Linked DNA regions of Sus scrofa. The protein of the gene in region 1 interacts with the protein of each later gene in a biochemical or structural test. Links are inferred from orthologs where the notes say so. Each region holds a gene or a part of one and is shown on either strand. Other genes may lie near its edges. The genes, in order: MSN and SPN.

Region 1 (8,754 bases):
TTATCTTTCCAGGGTCCTGGAGCAGCACAAACTCAACAAAGACCAGTGGGAGGAGCGGATCCAGGTGTGGCATGAGGAACACAGAGGCATGCTCAGGTGAGTTCTTCCTAGCAACTGTGGGTTCTACTGCCCTTGTAGAGAGAATAAGGGTTGGTTTTGGGGAAAGAAGAGCCAGAGGGCTAGGAACACTGGAGTTTATTGGAGAGGGACAGGAAAGTAGTTTATAGGGGAAATTAGAGATGGAAGACAAAGCAGGACCATTATAAAGCAGTACTTTTTGTGAATGATGGAACTGATAGCCCAGACAGTTTTGACCATAGCCCAGACAGTTTTGACCATAAAGAGGTGGAAGGGATCTCAGGATCCCTAGGGAGCTTCTGAGCCACCAAGGGGTCCTCTCTGAGAATGAAATGAGAATAATTTCATTATTAAGCTCTATAAACATGGCAAACTATTTGGGTGTTGTTTAGTTGAGAAACAGAGCATATCATTTTGCCGTGATTACCTCATCTGGGCTCTGCTAGGAATGTGCCTGTGTAAGAGGCTTCTATGATAGTTAATATATCACAGGCCAGCAAGAGTCAGCCTACCCTTATTCCCCTTGGGAACCTCAGAACTTAGGTTCCTATTAGCATGTTTTGGCAAAAGTCATGTTGTGTTTTGTTCACCATCATCTGCCCACCTTCTATTATCTTTCCCACCCCTAATGGCAAGAGTCTTGTTGGGCGTACAGAACAAGTAGGCTTTCTATCTCCCTGGGTCTAATTCATAGTCTTCCCTTGATAACAGCCCCCACCCCCACTTTGTTGTTTAGGGAGGATGCTGTCTTGGAGTATCTGAAGATTGCTCAGGATCTGGAGATGTATGGTGTGAACTACTTCAGCATCAAGAACAAGAAAGGCTCAGAGCTGTGGCTGGGGGTGGATGCCCTGGGTCTCAACATCTATGAACAGAATGACAGGTATAGCTCATAGTTCTCTTAAGTTTTGTGGGGCACTTTGACACCAAGGGCTTACCATAGTGTAGCATTGTACTTCCTGGGTCCCACTTGTGTAGTTCTTTTTCTACCTAGGTTAGATTAGCTCAGATGATGGCACAACCTCCCTCAAGCGTCTAAATCTTTTACTGACTAGATTTGTACTGTCCGCTATGGTAGCTTCTATTGAGCACTTGAAACATGGCTGCTTTGAATTGAGATGTGCTATAAAGTGTAAACTACACTGGCCTTTGAAGACAGTATGAAAAATAGAATGTAAAATGTCTCATTAATATTTTTAAAATATTGATTTACACATTCAAATGTAGTATTTTAGGTATACTAGGCTAAATGAACTGTTATTATAGTTAACTCCACCTATTTCTTTTTACTTATTTTCACTAGGCTACTAGAAAACTTAAAATTACATATGTGGCTCTCATTATATTTTTTTTTGGTTAGCTCTAGAACCTACCTTATCAGGATTTGTAATTAACCTCATTTCCATATGGTTATTAAGTGTCATTTGGCCATATAATCCCTCTCACTAAAGCCTTCTCTCACTTGCTTATTTTTTCTCATTGGTCTGCTGCTTGATGAGGATGGAGATCAATAGATTATTGTTCTGTGTAAATTACGAATCTGAAACTCATCGTTTACCTTTGCCCAACCTTTACAACCTTGAGTAGAAGAGTTCCAGTTAAGTCGGGCTGGGGATTCTTATGAGAGATTGCTGCAAGGTCCATACCTTAACAAAGAGTACAATAAAACAAGTCTCAGCCATTGGAACAAGGGACATGTTCATTGTGCTATCAGGAAGTCCTTTGTGTACCCACAATGCTGGCAACTGACCTGGTGGCATGTGATGACACAGGCTGAGCTAGCAATGAATATGTCTCCTTAAGGGAGAAGTTGGAGGTGGGGAGGGCAAGGCACCAACCCTCTCTATCCTTTTTGTCTTGCCCTTGTCCTTATGTTCTTGATCTCCATTTCTACAGACTGACTCCTAAGATAGGCTTCCCTTGGAGTGAAATCAGGAACATCTCTTTCAATGACAAGAAATTTGTCATCAAGCCCATTGACAAAAAAGCCCCGGTAAGTTACTCCTCCCACTGGCCAAGACAGGTACCTGCCAAGTCCTGGATAATGCTAGAAGCAATAATGTCATTCTGTTTTTATCTCTCTTTTCTGACTTTTGGTTATGGGTGGGAATAGAAGACACAAAAGGTGATGACGGTGAAAGGGGATGTTGATGCCAAGAAATGTAAGTGATACTATCCTGCTACCTGTGTTTCAGGAGAAGAATCATGAATGAGGGAGAGATCTATAGGCAGTCTAAGTACTGCCTCTTAGCCATTGTCTTTTTTTCTGCCCTGAGGCTCTGACATAGAAACAGAGAATATATCTTATCTTTTAAAGCCTCTAGGCCCTAGAAAGTAGAAACTGCTTAGGTACTTGATTTATCTTCAGTTGTGGAGAAGTCCAGATCTGAAGATGATCCTCCAGATGGTTTTTTTTTGTTGTTGTTATTATAACTTTGCTGCTGTCCTCTCAAGACTTCTCTCTAGAGCAATCCAAAAACAAGAAAGTGCTTTGGGTCCAGTCATTCCTCTAACATGCTTGTCATACCTGTCACCTACTCAGTTCCTGTGGCTGATAAGACTGGAAGGCTGGTGATTATAAATAGGATAGAAAACTGAGATGAAAGTTTCCTCTTTTTTTTTTCATTGTTGCATATTGTATTTTATTTGTTTTTTATTTATTTATTTTTTTTCCACTGTACAGCATGGGGACCAAGTTACACATACATGTATACATACTTTTTCCTCCCATTGTTGTGTTTCAATGTAAGTATCTAGACATAGTTCTCAATGCTACACAGCAAGATCTCATTGTAAATCCATTCCAAGAGCAATAGGTTTCCTCTTTTGATGTACCTCATGTCCAACAAGGGCCAATGACCATGTTGAACCAGACTCTTCTCGTGAGGCTTCAGCCTTTCTTCTCCAGCTCTGAGGTCTCTGAACTTGCTCTGCTAGGCACTTTCTATATGTTGTCTCCTTAAACCCTTGATGACATTGTCTGGTAGGTAGTAACATACTTACTTTATAAGTGATGACCTTGAGTTTCGGAGGGATGGAGTGATTTGCCCAATATCACAAAGCTTAAAATGATAGACCTGAGATTTATATCAAGGTCATTTGACATCTAGAGCTTGTGCTCCTTCCATTGCACCTCAAGCGATGTGAGACAGTAGCAGTTTGGGTTCAGTGGCAAAGGAGCTGGTGGTTAGCCCATCTTCTGGTGACACTGGTCCAGTGGTATTTATAGTAAACTCAAACTCAATGGATTTTCTTGTGTGTGTGTGTGTTTTTTTTTTTTTTTTCTCTGCTGCTATGCTCAACTTTCATCAGAGAAAGGTAAGTAACAAAGCCAGCTGAGATCAAGGGCTTATTTTAAAAAATAGCAACCAGGATAATTGATGTTCAGAAGATTTACATATTCATGTATATATTTACAACCTGCCAAACAGGATTTACGGACTAGGTCTAGGATATGTTTTTAGGAGATTATAGAACCAGTCCAGCCCATCCGTATCACATTCACCAGGGTATTGTGCAGGAATTCTTAGGCCTTAAGAGAGACCCCTGAGACCCAGAAGGATATCTAATTAGCAGGTAAAGTCAGTTTATATCATCTGGATTGAGGGTATTTTAGGATTCTTTTCATAAGCAGAGATTGAAAGTATTTGTGGCTTGGTGGAAAGAGCACTAGTTTCAGAGTCAAGAAACCTGAGTTCTAGTCCTGGGTCTGCCACTAATCTGCAATCTGACCCTGGGCAAGTCACTTCACCACTCTGATAATTAGTCTTCCCATCTATAACATGATTTTCCAGTGCTTTTGGACTTAGCTTTTCAGAAGGCAGAAGCCCAGCTTCAACTATCCCTCTAAACTTTTTCTGACTGATGGTTTTCCATCAGGACTTTGTCTTCTATGCTCCTCGGCTGCGAATTAACAAGCGAATCTTGGCTCTCTGCATGGGGAACCATGAGTTATACATGCGCCGCCGCAAGCCTGACACCATTGAGGTGCAGCAGATGAAGGCACAGGCCCGGGAGGAGAAGCACCAGAAGCAGATGGAGCGGTAGGTATTGTGGTACTGAAGTAGGGGCTGGGACTATGACAAAGAAGCCTCTCAAGGTGCTAAGCCTGCTTAAGGCAGGGTATGAAGCTATCCTGTTCTAGAGGAGAGAGAACTGTACAGGGATGACACCTCCTCCATTAAGTCTCAGGCATCACCATCCCCAGGAAGCAGACATTAAAACCCTAGGATTTCAGAGAGGAGCATTTCATAATTCCCCATTATCTATGACCCTCATGCCACTGTTCTTCTAGGTGGACTCTGGGTTGCTCTGGGCTACCTTATCAGTATAGTAGCAGTAGCAGAAGGCTCCATGCACATTTAAACCTGAATTCTTTAGAGCTCTTTGAGTGAAATTGGACAGAGCCAGAATTTTCCCTACAAAACCCTTATGCACTGTAGCCCCTTGCTGCTCAAAGTGCATCAAGGGTCAGCAACATCAGCATAAACTTTGGAACTTTTTAGAAATGTAGTATCTGAGACCTACCCCAAACCTACTGATTCAAAATCTGCATCTTAAGATCCTAGTCGGCCATTTCTTCAAAGAAGATATGCAAATACCCAGCAGGCACATGAAAACACCCTTAGTCATTAGGGAAATGCAAATTAAAACCATAGTAAGGTACCACTTCGTATTCACTAATATGGATATAATAAATGAAAACAAAAAATAACAACTGTTAGCAAGGGTGTGGAGAAATTAAAACTCATTTTCATCACTATTGGGAATGTAAAATGGTTCAGCTGCTATAGAAAGTTAAGTGTAGAATTACTATATAATTCCACAATTCTACTCCTAGATATATACTGAAAATAATTGAAAACAGGTGTTCAAACATGCACATGCACACACATATTCATAGCAGTGTGATTCCCAATAGCCAAAAGATGGAAATGGTCCAAATGTCCATCAGTGAGTGAATGGACAAATAAACTGTGCAGCTATCCAATGGAATATATTATTCAGCCATTAAAAAGAATGAAGTACTGATACATACTAAAAGTAGTAAATCTCTAAAACCTTATACTAAGTGAAATAAACCATACACAAAAAATCACATATTGTATTATTTCATTTATATGAAATATCCAGAATAGACAAATTTGTAGAGACAGAAGGCAGATTTGTGGTTGTCAGGGGTTGGGGGAGGGGAGATGTGGAGAAACTGCTTAATGGGCATGGGGTTTTACTTTGCAGTGATGAAAGTGTTTTAGAACTAATAGAGGTGTGGCTATACAACATTGTGAATGTATTAAATCTCTGAATTATTTTCTTTAAAATGGCTAATTTTATATTACACAAATTTCGACTCTAAGTTATTTAAAAAATAAGATCCCAGATGATCCCTGTGCATGTTAAGGTTTAAGAGCACTATTCTAGTAGGTTCTTTGTCATAAAGAGTTTGGAACCTCAGGAGGCTTTTAGTCTAGTAGACTGGAAAATGATTCCATGTATGTGAGGTTAGACACCGGGATTCACATTTATTCAGGAAAAAAATGAGATTGGGGGAAGTTTATAAAACTGGATCTGGCAGGAACTTATCCTCAAGGACCTTACAGTCTAGTAGGAGAAAGGGGAAAAAAGAGTATATATGTAACTGTTCAAGGTATAAATGCTACATCATTTATTCACTCAATGAATATTTAAACAATGAAAAAACAGACAAAAATTTCTGCTCCCATGAAGCTGTCATTCTAATGGGAAGAGACAGATCAAATAAGCATATTATACACTTTGTGACATGATGAGAAGTACTATGGATAAAAAAATAATAGTGGGGAGGGATATGGAGAAAGATAGGTCATGATTCTGAGTATTCAGAAAGAGAAAAGACATCTAGCCAAGGGAGAGAATAAGGCCTCCAAGAAGAGGTGCTGGGGCAAGAAAAACCAAGTACTTATTCTAGATTTACAACAAATTTTGTGGAAAAGGAGCCTAGAGATGGGCTTCAGAGTACAGGCAGAGGACTGCTGTCCTAGCCATAGAGATCACCAGACTTGAAGCAAAGTATCCAAACACAGAGCCCAAACTTGTCTACTTTTAATTCCATGAGTTAAACAGGGCAAGACTTATTAGGACATTTTATAAATAGAGGTACTGAGAATAAGCGCAAAGAATTGAAGTTGCTAAAGTTAGCCACTGGTTATCTACTGGGTGGCAGAGCTGAGGGTCCAGGTTGGATCTTCTGATTTGGGGACAAACTGACAGGGCCCTGAGCATACTGGCCCCTGTAGGGCTATGATGTGAGGGCAAGGATGTAGAGAGAAAGGAGAGCAGTCTTGCCTCTCAAGCCCTGAGTGTATTGGAAAAGTGGGGACTGAAGGGCCAGGGCCAGGGAGCCTTGAGTATGCCAAAGCTTCCTTGTGGCCTTACTATCCTGTTCCATCCCTTTTTCCTTCTTTCATAGTGCTCTGCTGGAAAATGAGAAGAAGAAACGTGAGATGGCAGAAAAGGAAAAAGAGAAGATTGAACGGGAAAAGGAGGAACTGATGGAGAGGCTGAAGCAGATTGAGGAACAGACTAAGAAGGCTCAGCAAGGTGAGGCTTGGAGTCACCTTGGAGACTGGGTTTTCCCAGAGTCCGAGTCTATGAGCTAGAAGCCCTGTCTGAGATACAGACAGACCCAGACCATATATTCCAGATGTGGCTAGAGAATAGAGGGAGGATGGGGCAAGAGGAAGAGTACCTAGAGCTTTCTTCCAGCTGTGCCCTGGTGTGAAGCATTCCTAGGAAGGAAGCTAGCTGTCCTTTCTTGATCTCTGTACTCTTCACCACCATTCCCTCTCCTCTTCCCAGAACTGGAAGAACAGACCCGCAGGGCCCTGGAACTTGAACAGGAACGGAAGCGTGCCCAGAGTGAGGCTGAAAAACTGGCCAAAGAGCGTCAGGAAGCTGAAGAAGCCAAGGAGGCCCTGTTGAAGGCCTCCCGGGACCAGAAGAAGACCCAGGAACAGCTGGTAAAGCTACAAAATGGGCTGAGATTATAGGACATGTGTTTTCTCTGTTTGCCTATCACAGCTACCTCTGCTTGTGGGACTGGCTTTTTCCAACAGAGTACCTCTCTGCAGGCTTCCAGCAGATAGCTCCTTCAGAAGCAAGCTGAGAAGTCACTTTGAAAACAGTCTACCCTAACCCTTACTTTTATTCTACTTTCTTAGCAATTGGGAAATCTGAGCTGATGACCTGACAGAGGAGAGAGGGAAGAAGTAAAGGGATTCACACTTGATTGTCTAGCTGTGTGTGTTATAAGCTATACTAGCAACTTTTTCCTTTTCCTTACTTTCTCATTTCCTCTTCCTAAACAACCCTATGCTATTAACCCATATGGGATAATATGCCTGGATAAAGAAATTCAGGCTCAGATAGGTTGAAGAGATCTGTCGAAGGTCACACTATTTTGACTAAGTAAGGATGACAACTCATTTCTGCCTTTGTTCTTTTTTTTTTTTGTATTTTACATACATGTGACTAATTTATTATATAACTGGAGTTTGTATGTCTTAATCCCCTTGACATATTTCACTCATCCTTCACCCACTTCCCCTCTGGCAACTATCAGAGCCATGGCTGCTGGCCTATGCCACAGCCACAGCAATGCAAGATCTGAGCTGCATCTGTGACCTACACTGCAGTTCACAGCAACACCAGATCCTTAACCCACTGAGTGAGGCCAGGGATTGAACCCTCTTCCTCATGGGTACTAGTTGGATTCGTTACCACTGAGCCACAAAAGAACTCCGCATTTCTGCCTTTCTTTTAAGGGTTTGCTTCCTCAAATCATATGTAAAACTATGTGTCTATACATTTTACAGGGGAGGAGGGTAATCATCTATACTTTTATCACAATTTCCAAGGGTTCTGTGACTCAGAGATTAAGACCCTGTGGCCCAAATTCATTGACATATGCTTTTCTCCTGTACTTTTTGGAGTCAGAGTGCAAGAAACTAAGCCCTAATTCTCAGGGGAAGACTTTGGAAGATTTTCCCAAGGTGTGAGAATGTGCGAAGCTTTATTCCCCTGTTCAAATTACTTTGTGACACTTGAGTATCATTCCTATACTTGTCCTGGGAAGAGTCTTAGTGTAGCCCTGATCACTGTAAGGTAACAGGAAAGGGTCTTCCACTTCAGGCAGCAACCCAGTGATCTTCAAAGCTTTACTGAGGCCCTAACTGTGCAGTGGGTAATACTAAGAAAGTGGAGGTGGGGGAGGGGGAGATACATATATCAAGAAAGAGGGAGAGGGAGAAGGAGAGATAAGGAAGAGGGAGAGATGAGGAAGAATCACAGATGTCATGTTTGCCTTCAGGTCTGTAGTCTAGGTGGGGAGGAAATAATTTGGAGTTAATAGGGTGTTGTAGTAGATCTGAGAATGAGTGTTCCTCTGGGCCTCCTAGAGGAGGTTTGGTACAAAAAGCCCCCAGAACAGCAAGCAAGTGGAGAAGCAGATTCCCTGTTAGTTTGCAGGGCAGCTGGGGTTTAAGATACCTGGCCCTGAGGACTAGAAGGCCCACCTCTCATAAGCTTTCAATTTATCCATAGGCCTTGGAAATGGCCGAGCTGACAGCTCGGATCTCCCAGCTGGAGATGGCCCGACAGAAGAAGGAGAGTGAGGCTGCGGAATGGCAGCAGAAGGTA
Region 2 (9,378 bases), on another chromosome or scaffold:
CCTTGCTGTCCATGGGCTTTTTCTCCGAGTGGAGTGAGAGGGAGCTGTGTCAGGGTTTAGAGCCGTCTCAGGGGAGGGATGTGACCAGATATTTGATCCTGGTTCCTCTGGCTTCTCTGTGGCTGAGAGCCCAAAGGCAATGAGGAAAGACAAGGCTTAGGTGCTTAGACAGGAGGTGGGGGCATGGGGGGGCACGGGGGGGTAGCAGTGAAGGTGGAAAAGAGTATTCAGATTCTGATTCTTTCTTTTCTTTTTTTCTTTTTTGTCTTTTTAGGGCTGCACCCACAGCATATGGAGGTTCCTAGGCTAGGGGTCCAATTGGAGTTACAGCTACCGGCCTACACCACAGCCACAGCAACTCGGGATCCGAGCCTCGTCTTCGACCTATACCACAGCTCAAGGCAATGCCTGATTCTTAATCCACTGAGCGATGCCAGGGATCGAACCCACATCCTCACGGATGCTAGCTAAGATGGGAACTCCCTTTGCTCACTTTCTATGTTGTGAGCCACACAGTGGGAAGTCCCCTCTGCTCACTTTTTAAAACAATTTTTTTTTTTCTTTTTTGACCGCCCCTCAGTATCCGGAGTTCCTGGGCCAGGGATCAGATCTGAGCCAAAGTTGTGACTTAAGCTACAGCTGTGATAATGCCAGATCCTTAACCCACTGTGCTGGGTTGAGGGTCCAACCTTCATCCCAGCGCTCTCAAGACACTGTGGATCCGTTGTACCACAGCTGGAACTCCAGATTTTTTTTTTTTCTTTTTTTTGTCCTTTTAGGGCAACACCTTTGGCATATGGAAGTTCTCAGGCCAGGGTTCAAGTCAGAGCTGCAGCTGCAGCTGCAGCCTAAGCCACAGCCCAGTGACGGCAACACTGGATCCAAACCACATCTGTGAACTATATCGCAGCTTGTGGCAATGCCAGATCCTTAACCCACTGAGCAAGGGCAGAAATCAAATCTGCATTCTCACAAGACAGCGTCAGGTCCTTGACCCCCTGAGCCATGATGGGAACTCCCCACTTCAGTGATCTTTTTTTTTTAAAGGTTGAGAAATTGGGTATCTTTACGCAGTCTTACAACATTTTTGTTTATTTTTTTGAATTAAAAAAATTTATGTTGGACTTCCCGTTGTGGCTCAGTGGTAACAAACCCGACTAGTATCCATGAGGACGCAGGTTCAATTCCTGGCCTTGTTCAGTGGGTTAAGGATCTGGCATTGCCATGAGCTGTGGTGTAGGTCACAGATGCGGCTTGGATCTGGTGTTGCTGTGGCTGTGGCAGAGGCTGGGAGCTGCAGCTGCAGCTGCAATTCAACCCCTAACCTGGGAACTTCCATATCCCGCAGACACGTCCCTAAAAAGACAACAACAAAAATCCATTTAGGAGTTCGATGGTGGCTCAGTGGGTTAAGGATCCAGTGTTGTCACTGCTGTGTCTCAGGTTGCTGCATGGGTTCGACTGCTGGCCTGGAACTTTTGCATGCTACTTGTGCAGCCAAAAAAAAATTTTTTTTAAACCTCCAATTACTTTGCAGCCAATTACTTCTATGTTTCTTTCTTTCTCTCTTTCTTTCTTTTCTTTCTTTTGGTCTTTTTGTCTTTTTAGGGTAGCACCCACTGCATATGGAGGTTCCCAGGCAAGGGGTCCAATCGGAGCTGTAGCCACAGCAACGCAGGATCTGAGCCACATCTACGACCTACACCACAGCTCACGGCAATGCCGGATCCTTAACCCACTGAGCGAGGCCAGAGATCAAACCCGTGTCCTCATGGATGTTAGTCAGGTTCCTTAACCACCGAGGCACAACGGAAACCCCTACTCCTACATTTCTGTTTGCAGGAGCAAAATGTTGAAACAACGTAATGTCTGACAATGGAAAGGTTTCCTCCCTCCCTCCCTTCTCTCCTTCCTTCCTTCTTTCCTATTGTTCCGTTTTTTTAAAAAAAAAGTGTGGAGCAGTATGCATGATAAAACCTAATACTAGCCTATACATGTATATGAGAACAATGTCTAGTCACTTATGATGGAGCACGATGATGTGAGATAAAAGAATGTACACATGTACGTGTAACTGGATCACCGTGCTGTACAGTAGAAAAAAAATAATAACGTATTGGGGAAAAAAAAGAATATGCCTGTGTATATGCATCCAGACTTATCGTTACTAGGGCATAGCTGGCGGTGGTGGTAGAGGAGCTTTGTCACTTTTCAATTCCTGCCTGTTGGGAAAGCCAATCCACCGCAGCCCTGAGCAGCCCTGCACACTCCTGCTCCTCTGCCAGCAAGGCACGGTCCCAGATGCTCTCTATTCAGGGGGTTGCTCAAGATTGTGTTCGCAGTGAGTAACTCTGAGGATGAAGTAACGTCTCCTTTTGGGACAAAGAGCAGGCTTGCTAACCACCTCCTCGAAAAGAGGAAAATTCTCCAAGCTCAGCTGCCGTGCAAACCCCTCGCCGTCACCCCTGTGGGACTCAGAGGCAAGAGGAACTGAAGCAGACACGGTGCTTCTGCTGCTTGCTTAGCCATGAGGCGCGGATGCCTGCGTCTCTGACCTAGGAATCGCACATCTTTGTCGGACTAACTCTTAGCTCATGAGTTCGGTTCGATCCCGGGCTGTGACATTGGCTTCTTTTAATCATCTCTCACGGACATGTATTATTACTTTTGTGACATAATCGGTTTTGATTTTTTTCGAGAAAGGCAGAATACAAAACAAAAAACCACACACGTACCGAAAGCCCAAGCTTACACGTTCAACGAAAGTGAGAAAAGAACAACTATCCAAGGCAGAAACTAAAGAACTCCCTACCCAGACGTACCCAAAGAAACGTGGTAATACCTCAGTAGATACCTTTCCAGACTGTCATCAGTGTTGACTCCCACATTTTTATTAGTCTTCTGCAAAAATAAGATCGTAGCGTATAGCGTGCTTAAGAACCACTTCGATTTAGTCAGGCATCCCATGACTGGGGGCCACTGTGGTGACACCAGCCCACTCCAGCTTCTCGAGAAGTCAAGAGCCCACCAGGATTTTCCTACAACCTGCGAAGGCTTTCACTGCCCCCAGCCAGAGGGAGGGAGTTCCTCGCACCCTGGTACTTCCTGGGAGCTCTTGGGGCAGAAAAAGTGCTAGCCTTGGGTCCTGGCCTAACAGCTTGGGGACCACAAATGCAAAGGAAACCACCTTCCCCTCCCAGCTCCTCCTCCGCACCCCCCATTCTCAACCACACAGTTCCACCCCTCCACCCACTCTCACCCCTATCCCAGCTTCACCCTCTGCTATCACATTTCCCAACTGAGAACGAGGAACCCCATTCCAGATCCCACCCACCATTCCCACCTGCCCCAGAGTCCCCCACCATCTCAGACCCTGAAAAAGCGATGCCTTGCTCATAGCCCGCCAATGTAGGAGCAGGAGGGTGGGGCAGGATGCTGGGGTGGGTGGAGCCAGGGCCATTTCCTTTCCCCCTGGGGCCCTGGCCACCAGTCTTGCCCCAGCTTCAAGAGGAGTTGGAGCAGCCTGGCCGCAACCTCGCCCTTATCAGGTGAGCTGGTAAGGGGTGTGATTTGGTGGAGCAGCAGCCCCAGTGCACCTGGGGATGTGCTTCTGGCTTGAAAAAGACCTTGATGGATAATGGAAAAGGAGACTGTGGAGCCACTGAGGCTGCCCACGGTTGGGACAGGTGGGGAGGGGGTGGCCTTTGCTGGAGCACAAGCTGCCAAGGCAGGCTGAGGGGACCTAGGGAGAGAGTTGATGGGGGAACCGCCAGCATCTTGTACTTTCTGATACGAGTACAAGCAGGGGTGGAAAAAGCCGTTGAACCGCAGAGTTCGGCCTGGCAGTTGGCAGGGAAGTGGGCAAGGGCGGGGAGAGGGCCTGGCTAGGTCCTCCCCCCACCCCAGGTTCTTATGTGTTCTCTTTCTCCGGTTTCCCCACCCTCAGGTCCCAACTCCTGCTCATGCCTGTCGCCTTGAAAATGATCCCGCTTTTCCTCTTCTTTGGGAGCGTCTGGGCCCCAGTGGCAAGCCTAGAGCTTCCAGAGAGCACGACTGCTTTGCAGATGTCTGAACCCGCAAGGTCCCCTTTTCCTTTGGTCTCTGTCTCTGGGACCCCCGAAATCAACTCAGAAGCATCCAGTCTTTCAACAACTGAGCTCCCTGAGGAAAGTAACAGCCCTGGGCATCAGATCTTCCTGCCTTCCTCAACTCCCTACCCAGCTGAAGAGGTGTCCTCCCCCGGGATTTCCATTGCTGCCAGCAGTGGCCTTCCTCTCCCCAGGTCAGTACTCTCCCAGGAAGTTTCCACCAACAGGAAATCCATGCTCCTGGAGATCTCTGATGCAGCCAATACACCTGCTGTCTCAGGAATGAGCTCCCTGGGGTTGCACACTGTGACTGGTAAAACCATGACCACCAGCTCTCTGGAGACCTCTGATGGGACCAGTGGACCTCCTGTCACCACGGCAACCAGCTCTCTGGAGACCTCTGATGGGACCAGTGGACCTCCTAATACCACGGCAACCAGCTCTCTGGTGGCCTCCAGTGGAACCACTGGACCCCCTGTCATCATGGCAACTAGGTCTTCGAAGACCTCCGTTGTGACCCGTGGACCCCCTGTCACCATTGAAACTGGCTTGCTAACGACTTCCAAGGGGACCAGTGGACCCCCTGTCACCAGGGAGACCTCTATGAAGACCACTGACCCCATCTTTGGGGTAGGAATATCCACCGTAGACACAAGCAGTAGCTCCCCCCAAAATTCAGGTCAGAGGACAAATGGCACCATGCTGGTAGCCGTGCTTGTGGCCCTGCTGGTGGTCATTGTCCTCGTGGTACTACTCCTGCTATGGCGCCAGCGGCAGAAGCGGAAGACAGGAGTCCTGACACTAAGCAGAGGTGGAAACCGCAATGGGGTCGTAGATGCCTGGGCTGGGCGAGCCCAGGTGTCCGATGAGGAGGCCATGTCACCAGAGGGAGCATCTGGGGGCAACAAGGACTCTGGGGCTCCCCAGGGGGAGGGGCCTGGCCAGCGACCCACGCTCACCACTTTCTTTGGGAAACGGAAGTCTCGCCAGGGCTCCTTGGCGCTGGAGGAGATAAAGGCTGGGTCAGCCGCCAAGCTGAAGGGTGAGGAGGAGCCGCTGGTGGGCAGCGAGGATGGGGCTGCGGACGCCTCTGCTTCTGATGGGCCAGAAGCCAGAGAGGCGGGGGCCGCTTAGGGCTTCATGACAAGGATGGAAGCCAGAGTCACTCCCTCTTTCATCACCCTCCCTCCTACCGTTACATCCAACTTCACTGTCACCCAGCTTTTTCACCCAGCACCCTTTGGATGTGCACGCAGCATCTTCACTCTGAGTCTTCATTCGGCTTCTTGGCCCTGGATCATCCCGCCAGCATCTGCACTCAGCACCTAGACCAGGGCTGGCACCCACTGAACGCCTGTAGACAGAATGAGCAAAGCTTGAATGAGCAAAGCTTCCTCGTGGACCTCACTGCTCCCCATCACAGTTTCTCTATGTTTTTGTCCTCGACCCCAGCTGAGTCTCCCTAATCCCAAACTTTTTGGACCTTGGATTTTTCAGAGGATGCTCCAGGGATCCCAGAGTCTGGGAAGATGACAGAAAAAGCAACCCAGGAAACTCCTCCTTAGGATGACTCTGGAAAGTACACTCGGCCCCACAGACTAGAACAGTTGACCCTTCTTTTGACTCTGCGCCCAGGAGCGCTGTGCCGGGCCAGCCTGGAACACGGGCTGGGTTGGTGTCATCGGGCTGCGCTCTCGGGTGCGTGTGTGACAGCCCCTGGACTCTAGGCTGGCCCACTGTCCAAGCCGCCACACTCTCCCTCACCTCTGGCCTGAGACAGCCAGAGGCTTCAGCTGTTTCCCCTCCCCCTCGGAGGTGAGAAGAATTTCAGGGCAGGTGTCATTCTTAGAAGTCTCAGCATCTGTGTGGGTCCCCGTATGAGGGCGGTTTGCGCGAGCGAGCGAGCGGGAGAGGCGAGGAATCCGTGATGTTTGTGAAGGGCGGGGGTGAGGACAGGGGCGGGGGTGGGGGCGAGGGCAGGAAGGGCTGCAGAGGCTGAGGAGATGCCACCCTTGTTGCTGCCGAGGCATAGGCGCCCTCATCTTTGCTCAGATTGGGCAGAGGTAGATTGAACTCCGCCTGTGGCCGGCCCTGAGGGGAAAGACCGCATGCGTGACGACTGAGTGTGGTTCCTCAGCTCAGCCACTCGGTCATCTCTTCCTCAAAGACCCCCCCCCCAGCCCCCGCACACACCCCCCCCCGGCCCCCGGCCCTGTTCCAACACTCGCAGGAGACCCAGGGCGGGTCTTGCTGATGCTGTTACAGGTTGGATGTGTTTGCATCTCCTCTTCCATCCTCCAAGGGAGTCAGTCAGAGTGAGACGTGACAGGCCCCCAGGGGATGGCCAGGAGGGGACAAAGCCTAACTGAGCCATCTCTCTGGGACCAGCCCAGGACAGAGCACCGGGCGCCTCCTGGACCGGAGGCCACGGACCAGAGGCTGTTGGTATTTCCCCAGGGCAAAGAGGAAATGTGCAAAGAGGAAGTTGTTGAGTCAGAGAGCAGACACATTGACCTGCAAAAGGAGCCGCCAAGGGCCGCGTGTGAGTGTGCCGGCCAGGTGGCCTGGAATGGAAGGGACATGGGGAGACAGGGAAAGGGCCTGGGGGGGGGGTTCCCGTTCACGGGGTGGGGGAGGAGAGGGATGGGGAGAGAAGGAGCGGAAAGTGGCCACGGATCTGCCAGGAGTTGGGCCACCTCTGCCCGGTCTGTGGGGGACGGGCTGATAGGGTAAGAGTGATTTTTACTTTATTCACCCTCTTCTGTAGTATCCAAATTTTATATATCCATTCCTTTTACAATAAAAAAAAAAAACAAAGGAACAAAAAGGTGTTCACTGGTGGGTGGGGTGTCGGGTTTGAGGAAGCTGGAAGGAAGGTTAGAGCCACGCCGTGAAGGGCCCCACTCTCTCCTCTGGCCTCCGTCCCCAGGTGCCTGGTCCAGCTGATTCTCCCTGCATGGTCCCTGGGAGCCCTCTCGTCTCTCTAGGCCCCCATCCCGCCTGGCCTGGGTCCTGCTGAGACTGCCCTTTCGCTTTCCTGACCCCTGACCCTTCCACCCTTCGCCTGTGTTGGTCCCAATGACCCGTGTAAAAGGCTACTCTGTCCAGATGAACTATGCACCCCCTAAGGCTGTCAGGGGGCGCCCATCTTCCTTAGCATGGAGTATAATACCCCTTCAAGATCTGGCCCTGGAGTTCCTGTTGTGGCTCAGTGGGTTAAGAAGCTGACTGGTATCCCTGAGGAGGGTCGGATCCCTGGCCTCACTCAGTGGGTTAAGGACCCGGCATTGCTGTGAGCTGTAGCATAGGTCACAGATGCAGCTTGGATCCTGCGTTCTTGTGGCTGTGGCGTAGGCCTGCAGGTGTAGCTCCGATTGGACCCCTAGCCTGGGAACCTCCATATGCCGCGGGTGCAGCCTTAAAAAGGAAAAAAAAAATTTTTTAATAAAATACTAATTTTATCCAAATAGTAAAATCACATTTTTTCCTCTTTTGCCAATGTTAATTGCCAGCACATTCTCGTCTCTCTTACACACACAACCATATGCAGCATATCATTCTTCATCTTATATTTTAAAATGCATGTTTCCATTTGACTTTCAAAGTGCACATTACGCTCATGGTTACAAATATAGCTCTGTCATCCCAAATGCAAATTCCAGATGGAAGAAGATTTTGGATGGGGAAATTTTTGAGAAATCTATTTATTCACTTTGCAGCTAGGAAAGGGGCTGCAAAGCCTGGATCCAAGGACATTCCATTTCTGAAAATGGACATTTATACCTCATTTTCCTCTACATCCCTATTTCTGCCCCTGTTCTGGGGAGGTTTGGGGTTGAGGCATTAGCCATCAGAAACCCCGGGGTACAGCTTCAGCTTATGTGGAGACTGCAGCTTGGATCTGCTCCCAGGCTGGGGAGCTCCAGGTGCTGAGGGGTAGCCGAAAATGAAAAAGAAAAGAAAAGAAAAAGAAACCCAGGGTACTTTGTAGACCATCTATTTGTCCCCAGCAGTGAGCTGCCAATGGGTGCTTGTGTGCCTTAGTCCCCTGGGATGCTCAGCACCTGCCTGCCCAGTGAGGGGCGTCATGACAGCCTAGCCGGACCATGAACTGCCGGCCAGTGAGGGCGCTGCGTACTCACCCTTGGGTCTGCGCATGCCTGAAGCCAGCCCACTGCCCTCTCGACTCACCACGTACACATCTGGACTTCCCGCCAAACTCCTCCCCCACTGTCAAAATGCAGCTCCAATGTCCCTGCCTTTTTGATGCTGCCTTTGCTGCCTCCATCTCAAACAGATATGGTGGTCTTTCTCCTACTCTCCTACAGCGCCTGCTGTGACAGCAGGAACAACTGGAATCACGTGATGATGTCTCTCATTCATTAGAGTGTAGCGCCACCAAGTACACATGTCATCTTTGTGGCTCCAAGTCCAGAGCCTGGCATGTCTACCTACTGTGTGTTTACTGACTGGAGGGGTAAATGAATTACCACGCAAACAAATGATGGTTTTCAAGTAAACGTATGGAGGGATCAAGTCTGTTTTTTGAATGAAACTGGGCTCCAGGAGGATGGCCCGAAGGCCGTGTGGCCCCAGATGAGAACAGTAGTCTAGTTCCAGTTCGATGTGGTGGGAGTCTGGCCTAAGGCGAAAGAAGGGGTCAGGTTTGAAATATATTTATTCAGAGAATAAAAATTTTAGAACTAATTGACTGTTGAGGTGGGGGGGGGAGAATGAGGTTAGACTCCAGGGTTTCTATCTAGGGAGGCTGAGGAGATGCTGATATCATTATGTGGAAATCCAGAGAGATGAGCAGTTTTAGGGGAAAACGTGAGTTCATTTTTAGAACTGTGAGGAGGGACATTAGAAGTAGAGACTGGGGGAGTTCCTGTCCTGGCGCAGTGGTTAACAAATCCGACTAGGAACCATGAGGTTGCAGGTTCGATCCCTGCCCTTGCTCAGTGGGTTAAGGATCCGGCGTTGCTATGAGCTGTGGTGTAGGTCGCAGATGCGGCTCAGATCCCGTGTTGCTGTGGCTCTGGCATAGGCTGGTGGCTACAGCTCCAATTCGACCCCTAGCCTGGGAACCTCCATATGCCGCGGGAGCGGCCCAAAGAAATGGCAAAAAGACCAAAAAAAAAAAAAAAGAAGAAGTAGAGACTGGGGACTTCTCATTGTGGTGCAGTGGAAATTAATCCAACTAGTATCTGTGAGGATTTGGGTTCGATCCCCGGCCTCGCTCAGTGGTTTGGGGACCTGGCATAGCTGTGAGCTGTGGTGTAGTGTGCAC

The links.
Region 2: the proteins of MSN (region 1) and SPN form a complex in vitro, tested with the Homo sapiens proteins (2 studies listed by BioGRID). The link is inferred for Sus scrofa from reciprocal best matches to the Homo sapiens genes MSN and SPN.

What each region holds. Positions count from the first base shown.
Region 1 is NC_010461.5:51,955,656-51,964,409, forward strand, and holds part of MSN (moesin), read left to right. Parts: intron 1-12; coding exon 13-96; intron 97-814; coding exon 815-961; intron 962-1,974; coding exon 1,975-2,071; intron 2,072-3,957; coding exon 3,958-4,121; intron 4,122-6,526; coding exon 6,527-6,657; intron 6,658-6,915; coding exon 6,916-7,076; intron 7,077-8,658; coding exon 8,659-8,751; intron 8,752-8,754. UniProt on the Homo sapiens protein: Ezrin-radixin-moesin (ERM) family protein that connects the actin cytoskeleton to the plasma membrane and thereby regulates the structure and function of specific domains of the cell cortex.
Region 2 is NC_010445.4:17,975,314-17,984,691, forward strand, and holds SPN (leukosialin), read left to right. Parts: upstream 1-3,417; 5' UTR 3,418-3,432; coding exon 3,433-3,548; intron 3,549-3,946; coding exon 3,947-5,222; 3' UTR 5,223-6,909; downstream 6,910-9,378. UniProt on the Homo sapiens protein: Predominant cell surface sialoprotein of leukocytes which regulates multiple T-cell functions, including T-cell activation, proliferation, differentiation, trafficking and migration.